Linked DNA regions of Nothobranchius furzeri. The protein of the gene in region 4 purifies or fractionates together with the protein of the main gene of each other region. This does not show direct contact. Links are inferred from orthologs where the notes say so. Each region holds a gene or a part of one and is shown on either strand. Other genes may lie near its edges. The genes, in order: sf3a1, ssrp1a, plk1 and mcm4.

The links.
Region 1: the proteins of mcm4 (region 4) and sf3a1 fractionate together in Homo sapiens (co-fractionation; 3 studies listed by BioGRID, with this or other methods). This does not show direct contact. The link is inferred for Nothobranchius furzeri from reciprocal best matches to the Homo sapiens genes MCM4 and SF3A1.
Region 2: the proteins of mcm4 (region 4) and ssrp1a purify together in Homo sapiens (affinity purification with mass spectrometry; 4 studies listed by BioGRID and IntAct, counting the BioPlex papers as one, with this or other methods). This does not show direct contact. The link is inferred for Nothobranchius furzeri from reciprocal best matches to the Homo sapiens genes MCM4 and SSRP1.
Region 3: the proteins of mcm4 (region 4) and plk1 purify together in Homo sapiens (affinity purification with mass spectrometry; 3 studies listed by BioGRID and IntAct, with this or other methods). This does not show direct contact. The link is inferred for Nothobranchius furzeri from reciprocal best matches to the Homo sapiens genes MCM4 and PLK1.

Annotation. Positions count from the first base shown.
Region 1 is NC_091757.1:36,509,299-36,513,563, reverse strand, and holds the start of sf3a1 (splicing factor 3A subunit 1), read right to left. Parts: upstream 2,801-4,265; 5' UTR 2,586-2,800; intron 2,567-2,585; exon of another isoform or gene 2,476-2,566; coding exon of another isoform or gene 2,452-2,475; exon of another isoform or gene 2,398-2,451; coding exon of another isoform or gene 2,222-2,397; intron 2,132-2,221; coding exon of another isoform or gene 1,963-2,131; intron 1,875-1,962; coding exon of another isoform or gene 1,710-1,874; intron 1,634-1,709; coding exon of another isoform or gene 1,464-1,633; intron 1,389-1,463; coding exon of another isoform or gene 1,311-1,388; intron 1,228-1,310; coding exon of another isoform or gene 570-1,227; intron 482-569; coding exon of another isoform or gene 331-481; intron 251-330; coding exon of another isoform or gene 3-250; exon of another isoform or gene 1-2. Other genes in the region: ccdc157 (coiled-coil domain-containing protein 157), read left to right, coding at 3-250, 331-481, 570-1,227, 1,311-1,388, 1,464-1,633, 1,710-1,874, 1,963-2,131, 2,222-2,397. UniProt on the Homo sapiens protein: Component of the 17S U2 SnRNP complex of the spliceosome, a large ribonucleoprotein complex that removes introns from transcribed pre-mRNAs.
Region 2 is NC_091741.1:91,665,304-91,668,915, forward strand, and holds the end of ssrp1a (FACT complex subunit SSRP1a), read left to right. Parts: intron 1-1,227; coding exon 1,228-1,363; intron 1,364-1,441; coding exon 1,442-1,487; intron 1,488-1,568; coding exon 1,569-1,701; intron 1,702-1,834; coding exon 1,835-2,002; intron 2,003-2,073; coding exon 2,074-2,171; intron 2,172-2,261; coding exon 2,262-2,436; intron 2,437-2,900; coding exon 2,901-2,966; 3' UTR 2,967-3,092; downstream 3,093-3,612. UniProt on the Homo sapiens protein: Component of the FACT complex, a general chromatin factor that acts to reorganize nucleosomes. The FACT complex is involved in multiple processes that require DNA as a template such as mRNA elongation, DNA replication and DNA repair.
Region 3 is NC_091744.1:8,886,438-8,890,736, forward strand, and holds the start of plk1 (serine/threonine-protein kinase PLK1), read left to right. Parts: upstream 1-1,485; 5' UTR 1,486-1,665; coding exon 1,666-2,019; intron 2,020-2,334; coding exon 2,335-2,503; intron 2,504-2,613; coding exon 2,614-2,758; intron 2,759-2,832; coding exon 2,833-2,926; intron 2,927-3,007; coding exon 3,008-3,230; intron 3,231-3,354; coding exon 3,355-3,397; intron 3,398-3,510; coding exon 3,511-3,608; intron 3,609-3,740; coding exon 3,741-3,818; intron 3,819-4,299. UniProt on the Homo sapiens protein: Serine/threonine-protein kinase that performs several important functions throughout M phase of the cell cycle, including the regulation of centrosome maturation and spindle assembly, the removal of cohesins from chromosome arms, the inactivation of anaphase-promoting complex/cyclosome (APC/C) inhibitors, and the regulation of mitotic exit and cytokinesis.
Region 4 is NC_091751.1:50,642,738-50,647,066, reverse strand, and holds the start of mcm4 (DNA replication licensing factor MCM4), read left to right. Parts: upstream 1-1,505; 5' UTR 1,506-1,600; intron 1,601-2,343; 5' UTR 2,344-2,357; coding exon 2,358-2,421; intron 2,422-2,509; coding exon 2,510-2,668; intron 2,669-2,752; coding exon 2,753-2,916; intron 2,917-2,994; coding exon 2,995-3,096; intron 3,097-3,165; coding exon 3,166-3,261; intron 3,262-3,331; coding exon 3,332-3,427; intron 3,428-3,511; coding exon 3,512-3,650; intron 3,651-3,758; coding exon 3,759-3,979; intron 3,980-4,088; coding exon 4,089-4,209; intron 4,210-4,329. UniProt on the Homo sapiens protein: Acts as a component of the MCM2-7 complex (MCM complex) which is the replicative helicase essential for 'once per cell cycle' DNA replication initiation and elongation in eukaryotic cells.

The DNA.
Region 1 (4,265 bases), on a different chromosome or scaffold from region 4:
TCATGAGTGAGCTGTTAGGTAGTCAAGACTGCATCAAAAGCCTCCAAAAAGATCTGGCGGACATCCAAGCAGCCATCGTGGACGTCTTTTCCAGAACAGGACCGGTCAGCTTTACCTCTTGGAAGTTCCCTGACAAACTCTCCTGTAATGTGGACATGTTGGCTCTGCTGGAGGAGTACGACTATGTAGACGGAGAGGATGCCTTCAATCAGCACTCCCACATTGTTTTACTGGAATTAGTGATTGACAGGTAATAAAATGTGTTTTATATGTTATGCATTGTTACCAAAGTAATTCTATTAACATTTGCCTTTCTCCTTTTCTAAAAAGATTATTGCTACTTCTACAAAGTGTTAGTGTTTACAATGAGGTGCCGAGAGGCAGACAGAGAGGAGAGCAAACCCAGCAGACAACATACTTGTCAGTTGGACTCGTGGTCAAGAACTACTGTGGGAATTTACTCCTATCAGCCAACAAAAAGGTAGTATTAATGTTAGAAAATACAAAATACTCTAAAAATTGCATTTTAAATGAAAGATCTGGATACTTTTATGCTTTCTTTTTCACAGGAGCCCTTTAAAGATACAAAGCCATTTGACTCCAACAACACAAATATGGTGCTGTCCAACCCTGCTATAACTAGCTCGAAGACTGAACTTAGTAGCTTTTGTGCATCTGCCTTGTCTTCAGCAAGCTCATTTGATTTTGTCCCACAAACTAACAACACTCCATGCTATCCTAAAGCTGAGCAGCATCATGTGAGCTGCCAGACAACAAGTTCGTCCCTTATTCCCTGCAGCGCTTGCCATCAGGTGCAGTCCCTTTTGAGAAACACGGGAGATGCATTGATAGATCTGTTACAGAGTGAGGGTTTGCCCTCATCTCTGCAGCCTCTCGCAGCAGCTATGGAGGACATTGTGGGTGACATGACATCAGGCGATGTAGCCCAGTGGGCCGAAGAGCAGCTCCGGGACACGAGCCGGCTGACCAAACATCTTAAGGATGTCCAGGGTACTGTGCAGCCTCTTGAAGAAAGAATTGCCGTAGCTGAAATGGAACGTGACAGTTTCAAATCTGAGCTGGAAAGTGCACAGAAACAATTCAAGCAAGAGCTGGAAAAACACCAAATAAACTCTGTCCAGCTGGAGTTTTCTCTACGGAAAGCACAGAGATCCTCAAAAGAAACAGAGCAAAGGCTACAAAAGGAGCAACAACAGCTGAAGAGAGGTAGTTAACACAATCGGTTTTATAACAAGAATGTATTGACATCATAGTTTTTACTATAAATATTTTTCACATTTTTGTGACAGAAAATATGTCCCTGGAGGAGACTAATAACAGACTAAAGGAGAAAATAGCACTGCAACATGACAGCTTACAAGTGCTTGGTAATGAGATGCAGATTCTGTCATTCAACACATCTACAGTATGATGCTGCATAATGACGATTCATTTGCTGGTAGAAACTGAAAAGAAAGCACTCCATGAGAAAGTGAAGAACCTGCAAACAGAGAAAGAGGCCTGCTGCAGACTGCAGGAACAGATCCAACAGCTAGAAACTCAAGTTTCTGATGCTACATTTCTTCTTGACAAGGAGAAGGCCAAGTACAGGAGCGCCTGTCGTCAGCAGGAGGTCAGTGTCACTGTAAAGGCCAGCATAGCTATAAAGGGGATCCTTCACACTGTTTTCAATATAATTGTGTATCCAGTCAATGCTGGCAAAGCAAAAGTCGTTGCTGGAAAGAGTTGATGCTCTCGATGAAGAGTGCGAAGAGCTGCAGAGGGAGCTAGGAGAGAAAGAGGAGGAACGGATCACCTTACACAATCAGATGTCAAAGGTGGAGGAACAGCAGGCTCAGCTCATGCAGCAGCAGGTATATATGTGGCCTAAAATGCAATACAATTGTACTGTAAATGGCCTTAGTTATAATAAAGTCTGTTTTGTTCTTGTTCTTCCATCAGAATTTGTGTGAGGAGCTCCAGAAGGAGAAGCAGACATTAGAAGTAAATGCGGATGAGTTGAAAAAGCAAGTGGCTGACCTGACAAGGCGTGTGGACTCTTTAAAGGAGAGGGAGAGACTGCTGGTGGCTTTCCCAGAGCTCAACAACTGGTCCCAGGCCCAACCTCAGAGTAGGTTGCTACTGAATAACATTATCTGATTATATTTGATTAGATTTATTTCCAGTATAATAATAGCACATGACTTTATTTACATTCTAGGTACAGGAAACTTGATTTTGGATATGGAGCAACAGCTTCAAGCAAACAGAATTCGTATAAAAGTGATGGAACAGGAAAATGCTACTCTGCACAAAAGTCTTGAGAAATTGAAAACAAGAGCTCAGCAAAATGCCTGCAGGGTATGGATGTACACAAAGGAGTTTCATGTGAAGTAGATCATGCACCGTTGGGATTATTATAACTCATTTGTAATGTATGTGTCTGAATAGGAACCTGCACCTCTGCAGACATGAAGCCAGTTTTATTCCTTGGAGTTTCATGTAAAAAACCAGATCAACGTGGATGCAACTGACTAAATAAAAACCTTATTGTTGAAAAAACTGAGCTGACATGTTTTACTTGCCTTTATTAGAAACAGCGTTGGTTGCTTTATTAATCCTCGTCAGTGCTGCATTTCCTGTTTAGAACACGTCAGCATAAAGGTCTCTGAGCTTGTTCTCTCTGTTCCCAAACTTCATCTTGTGATGTGCAGGAAATGCGGGGGTCAGTGAAGATATGCAAATGATTCTGTTGCGGCCTTTTACCACCCAAAACGAAATAATTCCAACAAAAGGCCATGGGTGGCAACCAAGCCCCCACAATGCCGCTCAGAAAATGGTCCCATCCCGGAAGTAAGAAAAATTGCAGTTCCACCCTCATCCGCTGGGGGCTGGTGCCAGAAGCGAGCAAATCCTCATTGACTCCCATGTTAAAAATGCCGATTTCACAGCAGAAATAAACATGTTTACAGCCTGGTGCCAAAACATGTTTTTTGTCTAAATTATCTAGTTTATACTCATGACAACTCTGAGGGGGGTGAATTTTTTTCTCACTCTTCTGTTTAAGTGTATTGAAAGCCTAAAATTCTGTATAATTAATGAGCATCCAACACACGTGACCGCCGCCTCAGACCCACGTGACCACAGAGCTAGCTCCGTGGAAAGGCCTCAGTACAGCCTCGGTCTGGCTTGGAAACTGCTCCGGCATTTTGAGTCTCTGTGTTTGTGTATTCTTCTTTGGATATTATTGGTGCAATTGTTGGACAAAATGACTTGCAGTGGTATTAATTGCACTAATAGAGCGTCCAAGGAGTCTCCACTTCATTTTTTTCGGTAAGTTAAAATCTATATTCGTATTTTATGTCACTGCTACCTTTAAACTAGCTGAGTTTACCGAAGTAGCTAGCTAACTATCAGTTTAACATGTAGCATGTACTGTTTAACCATGAAATTTAAATGTAAAATACGGTAAAATAATTAATAGGGCATATTTAGATGGGTAATAGGGTAAAACCCAGTGCATTTAAGATAAAAATGGGTTGAAATATGACGGAGCGCTAAGAGGGAGACTTCTGTGTCCATTCTTCCATCCGGTAATCCCCAGCGGTCAGGCCGGGCAGCCTGGACGATCCGGCGCCTATTTGCTGCGCCTAGCTGCTGCGCGGTCTGACCGCTCGTGGAGTTTTTCATGTCTGACTTTAACCGCATCTAATACTGTATTACGGCGTGAGCGCAACAGCGACAACTTAATATCGATGTGTAAGCAGCCTGAGTGGTAGGGTGTTTTCATCTGAACCCTCCAGCAGGCTATGCTGCACTATTGACGTGTTAGCGCGCGGCGCTAACAACTTAGCAACGTGACATGTCTCTGAGAAAGCGTAAAACACGGACGCTTCTTCTGAAGCGGAAAATAACACCTCTTCTTAAGCAGAGCAGGATGTCGCCTCGGCTCGTTCACGGCCGAGCCGGACTGAGCTCGATAACATTGACCAAGCACAGCCACTGGGTCGTTGTAGCTGCCACCAGGCCTGCTGAAGGAACTCCAGCGGGTTTCATCAGACTCGTAAAGTTTCTTGTTTTTGCTGGGGATTTCTGTATTTTACCGCTCCCTCCTGCAGTCTTCCCCTATTAAAATTTAAAATGTGTAACTTTATGTATTGTGATGAATGACTAATATTCATGTTAAACTGAAACGTTAGGCATTTAGGGGGAAAAAACAAAATAATAAACATTATACAGATGTCAAATAAATCAAACTGTAATTA
Region 2 (3,612 bases), on a different chromosome or scaffold from region 4:
TAGAACTGATGGAGCCTCTAGCATGAGGCAAAACTTCAAGAAAACCAGAAAACTCTTGATCACATCCAGGATGACTGAGTCTACACCAACGTGCTGCAAGAAGCAGCAACGATTCAGTCAAAAGGAAAACAGATTTCAAATATTAAAAGCTCTGAGTAAAAAGTGCCGAAAAGCAAAAGATAAATCTCACATCTTTGTGTGTTGTGAGATTTTATTTGATTTATTATTATTATTATTATTATTATGTGTATTTATTTATTTAATACCTGTAGCGGGTCCTAGTGGGCTGGACCTGGTGTCATCCACCACAGAGACAGGCTGCTCATCTATGATGGCTTTATTTTTCAAGTTCGATGCTCAGCCTGCCGACTGTCGCACTCGTACAGACGAGTGATAGTGTGTGCCGCTGCGTCTGACTCCGTTAGCTGCTCCAGGTTTTTATTCTATTTCTGCAGTGAGCCTTGAAAATTCACATCCCTGCAAGAGTTTATTCTTTAAGAGTCATATTAAGTCCATTGTGTTGATGCATTTTAGAGAGCTTCCCTCATGCAATACTTTTTCATTGCAAAATGCAACGTTTACATCACCCTCCGTTTGGCAGACGCGTGTTTGCACTTCAGCTGCTGCACACATGCACAGTGCGACAGAAGGGGGTAGGGAATCGCGATGCTGCACACAGGGTCTCCGCAGGCTGCAACACAGCATGGGACATAAAGGCATTGATGGGAATTTGCACACGTTTTTTGTTTGTTTTTTATGAAAATTGGCCAGTTTTGGTCAGAACATCCCCAGTGTTAACTTACTATTGCCTGGTTCAAACAGGGAAAAGGGAAATTCACTAACTCAAATTTAACTTGAGTGTAGGTCTTCCTTTTGGTAACGGTGATGCTTAGTTTCATTGTCCTGGACCATAAAACATTTGAGGGTTTGTAGTCAAAGTGATTTTAGACATGAAACAGGTCAAAGCTAACTTGCTTGTAGTGTTTTAGTAACGGTGCAATCTGGAGCTGAAACGTCACACCTCCTGTTTTGGTTACTGGTTGTGTTTCCTTTGACTGTGGTTGATGCTGGATCCAAGACGGATAGGGAGGACGGTGTCCCACGAGCAAAACTCAGGCTTTGTGAAGCCGCGACACCTTCAAACATCTAACCACAGTCTGGGCTAGCGTGTTAGCTCTGACGTTGTGTGTTTGTGGTGTTTTCCTGACCGTGCTGCGTACTTTCCAGGGCATGAAGGGTAAAATCGACGAGTACAGCGACTCAGACGAAGACCAGCACGATGCCTATCTGGAGAGGATGAAGGCTGAGGGCAAGATCAGAGAGGAGGGCAATGACAGCGACGAGTCGGATGGAAGTGGAAGCGGTTAGTGACTGTTTCAAATGTAACCGCTCGCGATGAGAGGATGGTAATGGTTGAACGAGGGTTTTCTTCTCTCTTTAGATGAGTCCTTCAACCCTGGAGAAGAAGATGATGAAATTGCAGAAGAGTAAGTTTGGTTTAACTTCATTTTTAAAGCTTGAGATGATACCTGTAGTTGTTGTAAACGTCTGTTCCTCCTTTCTTCCAGGTACGATAGTAACGCCTCTGCAAGTGACAGCAGCGAAGAGGGGGGGGACAGTGAAGATGAGGGTGCAAAGAAGAAAAAGGCTAAAAAAGCCAAAGTTGTGAAGGAGAAAAAGGAGAGAAAACCACGTAAAGAGGTGAGAGACCAGCAGGAGGAGAACATTAGGCTTCAAAAGCCTGATTTCACGATCTAACATAAACCGGCTGTGCCGTACATTAACCCATCGAACTCGACATGACTGCTGACTCTTATATCCTAAATTCAAACAGAAGAAGCAGAAGGACACCGGTGGGCCGAAGAGGCCGATGAGCGCCTACATGCTTTGGCTCAACTCCAGCCGAGAGCGAATCAAGGCGGAGAACCCCGGCATCTCCATCACCGAGATATCGAAGAAAGCCGGAGAGATGTGGAGGCAGCTGGGCAAAGACGAGAAGGAGGTGAGAACATCACAGAGGTGCTTTTACATTTCTGCTGCGTTTTATTAAACTCACACGGATGTGCCCTCCAGGAGTGGGAAACAAAGGCAGGAGAGGCAAAAAAGCAGTACGACAAAGCTAAGAAGGAGTTCAAGGAGAGCGGCGGAGGATCCACCTCCACCTCCAAGAAGTAAGGCTCTCATCACAGGAGCAGTTTTTATGTTTCTTCATCAGAGTTGTTACACATCTGCTTTCTTTCCTCCACACGTCTGATCATTAGAGAAAGTAAAAAATCTGGAGGCAAAAAGGATGAGAAGAAGAGGAAGTCTGCGGGCGCAGACAAAGAGAGGGAGCGAAGCGGAGGCAACGACAGCTTTAAGAGCCGAGAGTTCATCGAGACCAGCGAGGACAGTTCCTCTGACTCAGACCGCAAGAGCAAAAGCAAGAGGAAAAAGGTAGGAGCCGGCGGTAGAACATCAGTCTGTAGTCAGGACAGTCATTCTGCTGAGTGATGACAAACTCATAAATACGTTAATTCTAAATGGACACAGGTTTTCATTAAAGCCAGGCGTCCCAGTTCAGATCAGTTTAATGAAAAAGCAGCAGTTTCCCCCCGTGTCCTCAACCGACTACTAAGAGGAGAAGCTGATATTTAGTAATCTTTGCTACAAAGAAGTTCAAAGCTCTGAAGATCAGAATCTCACCTCTGCTTTTCTTTTTACAGCTTAGCCGTGTTTTAGAAGAAGCAGCAGCAGCGTGACGTGTAAACGACAGACTAGAGTAGCTCTCATCTTTTAAATTTGAACTCTACTAGTCTAATGTACAAGCATCTGATCAGTGAGGCGTTAGCGCATCAGAACTTTTAACACTTTCATCGTGCCTCTACTGCTGATAACACCAGCTCTTCTGTTGACTTCAGGAATCGGATGAAGAGGAGGAGGAAGCTGTGTCCACACCGGCAAGCTCAGAGCCAGAGTCTGATTAGATACTCACACACACACACACACCAAGGACCAACTGTTTATACTGATGATTTCAGATCAGTCAGCAAACTGGAGTTGTATGGTTTTATTCTCCATGTGGTTACAACAATAAAACCCTGTGACCACGTTTGGATCTGTAATGTGATATTTGAGCAGCTCAGATGCATGATGGGATACCTGCAGCTTATCACCAGCCAACCCATGGTTGTGTTGGTTAAACAGCACTGAGGACTGTAGGACTTACTAGTTTTATCAAGTGGATGCTCCAGAAGGTTCCAGATGAATATTCCTTCTGTTTAGTGCTCTTCAAAGTGATATTTTTGTTTGTTTTGCCTTGTCATGTTTTCTCAATCAAAATAAAAGCTTTTCAGTAATCTTTTTCCTTTGCGTACAACCACTAGCATCATGCTTCTGGCTTGCTGCTGCCCTCTTCGTCTGTAAAAACAAAACTCAAACTTGGTGTGAAATGTTTTATGCACCATACATCCCTCCGCCATAACATTATGACCATAGACCAAGCAAAAGCGGAAACTGTCACTCAGGTGGGTAATTGTACACTGCAGGTAAATATTTAAAGATTTTTTTTTTTTTTTGTGAGGATGAACCACAAGTTCCCAATGGGAATATAATTTGTGTCTGACCACATAC
Region 3 (4,299 bases), on a different chromosome or scaffold from region 4:
CATCCTTTGTCCTGGTTTTGCTAACGCTTTACTTTATGTAGGTGAAAAATTAAAGAGCTCACAGCACCCTTGAGATTCCAGTGAGCCAAAACTGTGGAAGAAAAGAAGATGAAACATGGAGGGAGGTAACCTACTCTACTTTCTTTGTGCCCCTCTGCAGAGGACGTTCAGCTCTCTGCAAAATCCTGTGTAATAAACTAAATGTGTGTAAATGTTGACCCATACAAGCACAGACAAGCTTACTTCATTTAGTTTTCCCTACAGCATCTTCTGTGTGTTGCCATGGAAACACATGGCAGCAGAAGAGAAGGATGAATGTGCAAAAATGGAACAGACACATATAAGCCAGCAATCTCCACACATCACCCACCAGTCGGACTAAAGCCTGAAGACCATTTATAAACAAACACACAAAGTGAAAAAACAAAAAACTGTAAAACACACATATTTTAAAGAGTGTGTGCATAGTAAATAGTCCCTATATTAAACATCCCCCCTTATAACAAAGTCAAATCAGCCACTAGCTGTGCACTCTTACTTTTTGTTTTAATAACTATGGGAGGCTTCAACAGAAAATGATTCCCTGGAAAAAGTGTTGTGGACTGAAATTTTTATTTTAAGATGATGTTACCTATTTAATGATTAGACATTTATAAAGTTAATTCTAGACCATCATGACAATAATCTATTTATGATCTCATTATTTACAGCTGTGAATCCGTGCTGTGTCATATGAAGTGCTTATTGTGTGATTGGTCTGAAAAAAGTGCTTTCTCAAGGAACAATAATTGTGAATTTGTCCACTGCTGCCACCCAGTGGAATATGTGTGAAAGTGAATTAAACTATCAATAATGTAATTTTTTGCAACATCATGATTTTCTCAATTTACCTTTTAACTGTAGAAATACACAATTTAATAGTTCTGTGCCGATATCGTTTTTGCAAACATGCTTTTATTACTCAAAACGTTTGTGCATTTCGTCTTATTTTATTTCAATTTTCGTTTTTATTTTGACCACACTGTCGTTTCACTGTTTTATCCAGTTTAATAATATGATTACATGTTAAAATTAAATCCTTCTTGGATTCTGGATGACGATAAAATCAAGTAAAATCTAACACTAGTCTACATTTACCATCAGCCTTTGCGTTAAGGAAACGCAAGACGTCATTGAGCCAATCACGATGTTAGAACTTTATTTCAACCCCGTTGATTGGCTAGTTTTGCATTTTTCTTCCCACAATGCTTTGCGTAGAATTCAAATCAAGTGGACCAATGAGAAAGCGCCGTGGCGACAGAGCGAGCATTTAACTTAATACTAGAAACTGTTTTCGAAGGGCAGAACAGAACACAGGAGACGCCGCCGTCGGACACGTCTGCTGAATTATTCCATGAGGAAAGCAGATTTATTTTAATATTTATGTCTATATATGTCGTTTTATAATTGTAGAACCTAATGTTAATTATCGCTTGCTTTCAGGAAGTCTAAACTCGTGATTAGATTTAAATTCAGACGTGTATGGGAGAAAGTTAGCTAGCTAGGCTAAAGTAACGTCGGTTGTGTTAGGGTTAGTAGTTTGATTCTTGTAGTTTTCACCACGTTTACTGCGCGGAGAGAAAATAAACATTCCTGTAAGTTCATAGAAGACAGCTCTAATACAAAATGAGTGCTGGTACCGCAAAGCCGTTGGAACGTGCGGATCCCAAATCGGCACCTCTCAAAGAAATCCCAGAAATTCTCGTTGATTCCCGAACCATGAAAAGATACACGAGGGGGAGATTCCTCGGGAAGGGTGGTTTCGCCAAATGCTACGAGATCACAGATGTAGAGACGAAGACGGTGTTTGCTGGCAAGATCGTAGCTAAGTATTTGTTACAAAAGCAGCACCAAAGGGATAAGATGACCTCGGAAATCGCCATACACAAGAGTCTGGATCACGCTAACATCGTCGGCTTCCACGGGTTTTTCGAAGACGATGACCATGTGTTTGTGGTCCTGGAGATCTGCAGGAGAAGGGTGAGTACGATGGAAGGAAACCAGCTTTTCAGTGAGGTTTAGAGCCGACGGTTAAACACTGCGACATCTTCCGTTGTCCTCATGTTTAAATAGTGGGAAGCAAGCAGTACCAGACTCATTTAACACCTCACAACTATTTGATCTTTGATAAAAACATCTTAAAAAGAAACTTCTAGCCTATAAATGTGGGTTTATTGGTCCAGTACCACTCTGGTGGCCCCATGTGTACCATATGTTCAATCTTATAATTAAACGCATAAAAGATCACTCTTTTCTTGAGCTGTTGTCTTGACTGTTTAAAATGCTTTATTTCAGTCCTTGCTGGAGCTGCACAAACGCCGCAAGGCTGTGACGGAGCCTGAAGCTCGCTACTACATGGCCCAGCTGCTGAAGGGTGTCCAGTACCTGCACAACAACAAGGTCATCCACAGAGACCTGAAACTGGGCAATATCTTCCTCAACGACGACATGGATGTCAAAATTGGTACTCCACTTGCTTGGACTTGTAGCTTGCACTAGATCTTTTGTTTTTATCACGTCGAGAAGGATTTGAATCAAAGCATGCCTCGTTATTACGTGTTCTCTCTTGTTTAGGGGACTTTGGCTTGGCGACTAAGATCGAGTTTGAAGGCGAACGAAAGAAGACTTTGTGTGGAACGCCCAACTACATAGCACCAGAAGTGCTTTGTAAAAAGGGCCACAGCTATGAGGTCGATGTCTGGTCACTTGGGTGCATATTGTAAGTACAGGCCCACAAACGCAACTCATTTGAAATGTCCCAGCTGTGAAAGCTTCCCTTTTCTGTTCTTTCAGGTACACTCTGTTGGTGGGCAAGCCCCCGTTTGAGACCTCCTGTTTGAAGGACACCTACAGTCGCATCAAGAAGAACAACTACACCATCCCCTGGGTATGAAAATCAAACTGAATGCACCGTTTTCTTTCTAAAATTAAGTTAATAATTGAGTCGTATGATCTGAACAACCTGCAGCACATCACCCCGACTGCGGCGACTCTGATCAAGAAGATGCTGCACGCCGATCCTGCACAGAGGCCAAGCGTTGCTGAAGTGCAGGCCGATGAGTTCTTTACGTCCGGCTACATCCCCCTCCGTCTGCCCACCACGTGTCTTACTGTACCCCCTCGGTTCTCCATCGCCCCCTCCACAACTGCAGAGCTCAGCCAGCGGCGTCCTCTGACTGCTCTAAACAAGGGTAATGGCGATCAAAATGAAAATCTTTGTTTTTATTTTTCCTAGGCAATGATGTTTGAGTTGATCCACATAGATTTTATTAGTCTTGTTTTAGATGTTAACGTTTTTTTTTTCTTTGTTCCCAGTTGGTACGGAGAAAACGGAGGTGAAAGACGAGCCTATGCAAAGGTGTTTTTCATTTATTTATCACATGACAAACATTTTATAAAAATTCTAGTTCTGTTAGTTTTTATCTTTTCTTTGCGTAGATGTTGTTAACCTTTAAATGTGTGTGTGTGCAGGGCGGCTGAACCATCAGAGCCCTACCTGAAAGACATGCTGCAGCAGCTGAACAGCATCATGTCCACCAAACCCTCTGAAAGGGCCGTCATCCAGCAAGGTTAGTGGACGTGTCTCACTTCGTCTTTACCGATCTTGTGGAGTCTCTGTTGCTATTTCTCTGAATTTTGTCAAAACGGATGCGGTTATCTACTTTTTAATCTACATCTAAGGTTTTTTTGTGTAATTCCAGAGGAGGCCGAGGATCCTGCGTGCATCCCCATCTTCTGGATCAGCAAATGGGTCGACTACTCTGATAAATATGGATTAGGTAAATGTTAGGAGACCGTTTGTTTGTTCACATAAGCTGCAATTTTAACTTTGTAAGTTTGGTTTAGACTATTAAAAGTATATACAGGGTATCTGCAGGTCCATAAAAAGTCTTAAATTAGCTTTTCCAAATTTAAGGCCTTAAAAATCCTTAAAAATGACAAATAGTCCTTAAATAGTTTCCAACGGTCTTAAATTACCAAAGACCCAATAAACAAGATTCTTTTATTTCTATAAAATTTTCATGAATTTCTAGTTAGTTTGGCATTTTTTGTGTATGATATTGGCGTAAGCGGAACCGTACACATTCGGTTGGTTGTGAAAGGGGGCTATTTTTAGATGAGCATGCTAGTGGGAGTTTGCACCATGGGGAAGTGCAACATTAATGGTAAATGGATGGCTAATCCCACGTTCACGACCTGGTTAGCACCGGTTCCAGGCAATAGCTGGAAATTATAGCTTAAATTTAATTTAAAAAAAAA
Region 4 (4,329 bases):
GCAGGCATTAACTCAAGTTGAAGCTGTTAACGTCGTTTTTCTGATGATCTCAAATGGTTGTTTCTGTCTGAGAGGCTCTCCTAAATCACCGACAGGCCGACACTTCTCGGAAATGTTTCTCATGGTTTCATCTTTGGAAGTTTGTAGTACTTTTCCTCTGATGCTTCCCTCTGGTGTGGAAAGTGCGCCACACGGTGGTTGTATTTGTACCTGCAGATCACACTTACTTCGAACATTTGATTTTCTTCCTCTTCAATTAAGAGCACATTTAACTGTTATGTCTCATGGTTAAGTGCTCACAGACCACCGTGTAATCAGCACATCACACCCACACCATCGCAGCAACATCATCATTTAATCAACAAACAGACCTCTCTTTAATCCCTATTTTGTAAAGCAATAATATAATTTATTCTAGTACTAACTGTATTCTTAGTCTTCTCTAAGTGTATGTGCTGCTGTAGCAAGGTAATTTCTCCACTGTGGGACTATTCTATTCTACCAACACTATTGGTCTGTATTGCATATTTTGAACCAGAAGATGGCGGAAGTCCTCTGAAATCCAACCAATACAACAAGAAAGTGAGCTATTTAGCCCTAGTATTATTTCAGTTATTGATTAAATAATTTCTTGCAGAACATGTAGTCATGCTATGACATAATTAAAGTATGCTGTCTTAATAAATGCAAAAAGGAAATATCCAAGCTAGACCACACATATGTTGAGTTTCTGTCTAACACGAAAATCGGACCTCAAGAGACTCACGGAAATTCAGAAATTGGTATTTATTTGTTTATTTTTATTATGTTTTTCAGACAAGTTAACAACTTGCTGTACAAGTTTCAACACCTGTTGTTAGCTAATTAAACATACCGATCAGATTTCTCCTCTGTAAAAAAATATATATTTCTAAATTCATTAATCAAGAACTTTTCATAAGCTATAAATCATTTATGAACATATTAATTAACCACCAATAATTAATTCCAAGATACATTTCAGAAACTGGGTAAGAATGGAAACTTAGTCATAAACATTACTTTAAAAGGTCAATAAATTCAATAGTTTTGGGCCAAAGTCTCAAAGTCTCCATAAGTTAGCCAAACGTTGTAAAGCCGTATTAGGATAAGAAATGACGTAAAATGTTGTAATGAAAGATAACAGTGAAAATCCCATTTTCACAATCAGCTGTCCGTTTAAATCTGTAGCCTGATTATATAATGACCATAATAACGCACTTTTGCCATTTCATGTTTCAATCGCAAGAAAAAGTCGCTTCCTGTTGGACGAAACCAAATCAGCTAGGAGGCGTGATCAACAAAACACTTCACGTAGGATTCACAAAACAGGCTGCGAACATTAACATGAATAAAACAAACGTTTTAAAATTAATTTGATAGTTTTTTGGATTATGTAAAATTGTACAGTTATTAATGAGCAGAAAGGAGCAAAACTTAACCGTACACACCTCTGAAGTAAAGGAGTCGGCCGGAAACGGGAGGACAGTCCTTACTTTTTATTGGCTGAAAGTTCCCCGCGAAATCTACGTCAGCAGCAGATTCGCGCCACAACTGCGGCACTCGGACATACACAAAAGTGGTAAGAAAATCAGTAATTCTTCAAGTTAATCCTTGTTAAATCGGTAGGTAGCTTTTCAGTAACTGTACGCTTTGGCAAACAAGCTCATCTTAATTGCGAGCAAATGTTTGGGTTTTGTTTTTATTTAAGTCACATTTAACTCGCAGATCCAGTGAAATCCAACAGGCAGGGAGGTTCATTATTGTCTGTGCAGCCACATGTCAAATGGTGTCCAAAGTTAGCATAAGTGGCTCTAAAACTAACGGATGAGCATAGAACACCTTTTATTGAAGGAAAATGTTAACGTGACCAGATAAGTTGAGTCTGTTAATGAAGTTTGTAGGTCATTTTTGCCGCTAAGCGAGATTTTTCTGACTGTCGTGGTTTGACACTGCAGAGTTCTGTGTAGTTGTCTGACAATCAAGCGATTTCTATTTGAACCGGCCACCAATAGGAACCAGTAATAAACTGCCTACAGTTTAACCAAAACTCTCAGCATGTCAACTTGTTACTATTTAAAGTAAAAACTAAATTCTGAAAGTATTTGGTTGAATGTTAATTTAATTGGATTTAAGGAAATATCAACATGATGACTCCAACGCGTAGAATGGAGAAATTGTACAGAAACTGTTGGCAGTTTTTGATTATTTTTTTACGAAGCTTCTTTCATCCAAACAAAACATGCATCGTGAAAAGAAATGTATTGATCAAGTCTGAACATAAAAACGCTTAAATCACCCTAAGTCTTGTTTTTTGTCATGCAGATATCCCATCAGCCATGTCTTCCCCTGCATCGACTCCTGGTGGCCGCAAACGTGGAAGGAACACCAACCCTTCCACTCGTACGCTCATTTACATGTTCATCCCTGTGATGTGATTTATTGTTGTGAAGCATGCTTTGTTTACTTTGATGTTCTGTGTAAATCTCAGCGCTTAGGGAGGACCCAACCTCGCCTCCCTCTCAGCGACGCAGAGGTCAGGACTCCTCCACTGGTGACCTGATGCCTATGCCCACCTCTCCAGCCACAGACATGGCCAGTCCTGCAGCTCAGCAAGACACCTCCCTGTTCTCGAGCCCGCGGCCTTCAGGTATTTCATAGTTTTATTCTTTATGACCTTTTATAGAATAAAACTGAAATGAGATTATTAATCTGTTTGATGGGATTGCTACAGTTCTGCCTAATGAAGTGGACATGAGCTCCCCTCTGATGTATGGGACCCCGAGCTCCAGGGTCGAAGGGACCCCGCGCAGTGGAGTGCGTGGAACACCGGCCAGACAACGACCTGATCTGGGATCAGTCAGGAAGGCTCCTCAAGTTGATCTTCATTCTGATGCAGTCAGTAGAAGAGCAAGTTTAATGTTTTCAAATCCAGCCTGAAAACAGAGAATCTAAACATTCATTTTTATTTTTCAGCCAAGTGCAGATGGTGTTGCAGCAAATGAACCAAATGCAGCCCAGAGTCTGGTGATCTGGGGGACTGATGTCAACGTGGGAACCTGCAAGGAGAAGTTCCAGGTATGACCGTAACTGATATGTGATGTCTTTTTATTAGAACAAGTCTTTATGATCTTTTTGTGCTTTCAGAGGTTTCTGCAGCGGTTCATCGACCCAAATTCTACTGAGGATGAGAACGCTGGTCTGGACTTAAATGAGCCTTTGTACATGCAGAAGCTGGAAGAGGTACTCGCTGGTTCTACCGTGATCCTGCAGATCGTGTTCAGGTATTAACTTTCATGTCTTCGTCTCTCAGATCAGCGTTGTGGGTGACCCCGTGATAAACGTCAACTGCCAACATGTGCAGTCCTTTGACGCAGACCTGTACAGGCAGCTCATCTGCTACCCACAAGTATGGTAGTTCCGTTTAAACTTTAAAAATGAGAAAAAGTAAATTATTAAAGTGGGAAACATCCTGTTGTGTATTTTTTTGCAGGAAGTTATCCCGACCTTTGACATGGCCGTCAATGAGCTTTTCTTTGAGCGTTTCCCAGATTCCATTCTGGAGTACCAGATCCAAGTTCGCCCCTACAACGCCCTGAAAACCAGAAACATGAGGAGTCTGAACCCAGAAGGTGTGTGTGTGTGTTCATTAATTCAGGCCCAGATGAGCACATGCAAAACCTCCCATCCCATATTTTGTGTGGGGTTTCTGTGAACACTAACGCTTGTCGCCCCCACAGACATCGATCAGCTAATCACCATCAGCGGCATGGTGATCCGCACCTCGCAGCTCATCCCAGAGATGCAGGAGGCCTTCTTCCAGTGCCAGGTGTGCGCCTTCACCGTCCGCATGGAGGTGGATCGCGGCCGCATCGCCGAGCCGGGCGTGTGTCGCCACTGCAACAACACCCACAGTCTGGCGCTGATTCACAACCGCTCGGTCTTCTCTGACAAACAGATGGTGGGAGTTTGATGCTTCATGGTGACATCATCATCTGAATGTGGCAGGTGGTACTTAGTGATGCGTTGACAGATTCTGACATCTGTTCATTCACTGATCTTTGCAACAGATCAAAATTCAGGAGTCTCCCGAAGACATGCCGGCCGGGCAGACGCCTCACACCACGGTTGTGTACGCTCACAATGACCTGGTTGATAAAGTTCAGCCTGGAGACAGAGTAAACATCACCGGTAAGACCTCGAACTCATCCCTGCAGGAATAAACGTCACAATAATTCCCTTGGAACATTCAACCTGAGAAGATCAGTTCACATTTCACTTGAGTGCATCGACTTTTTAAGGCTCTGATCT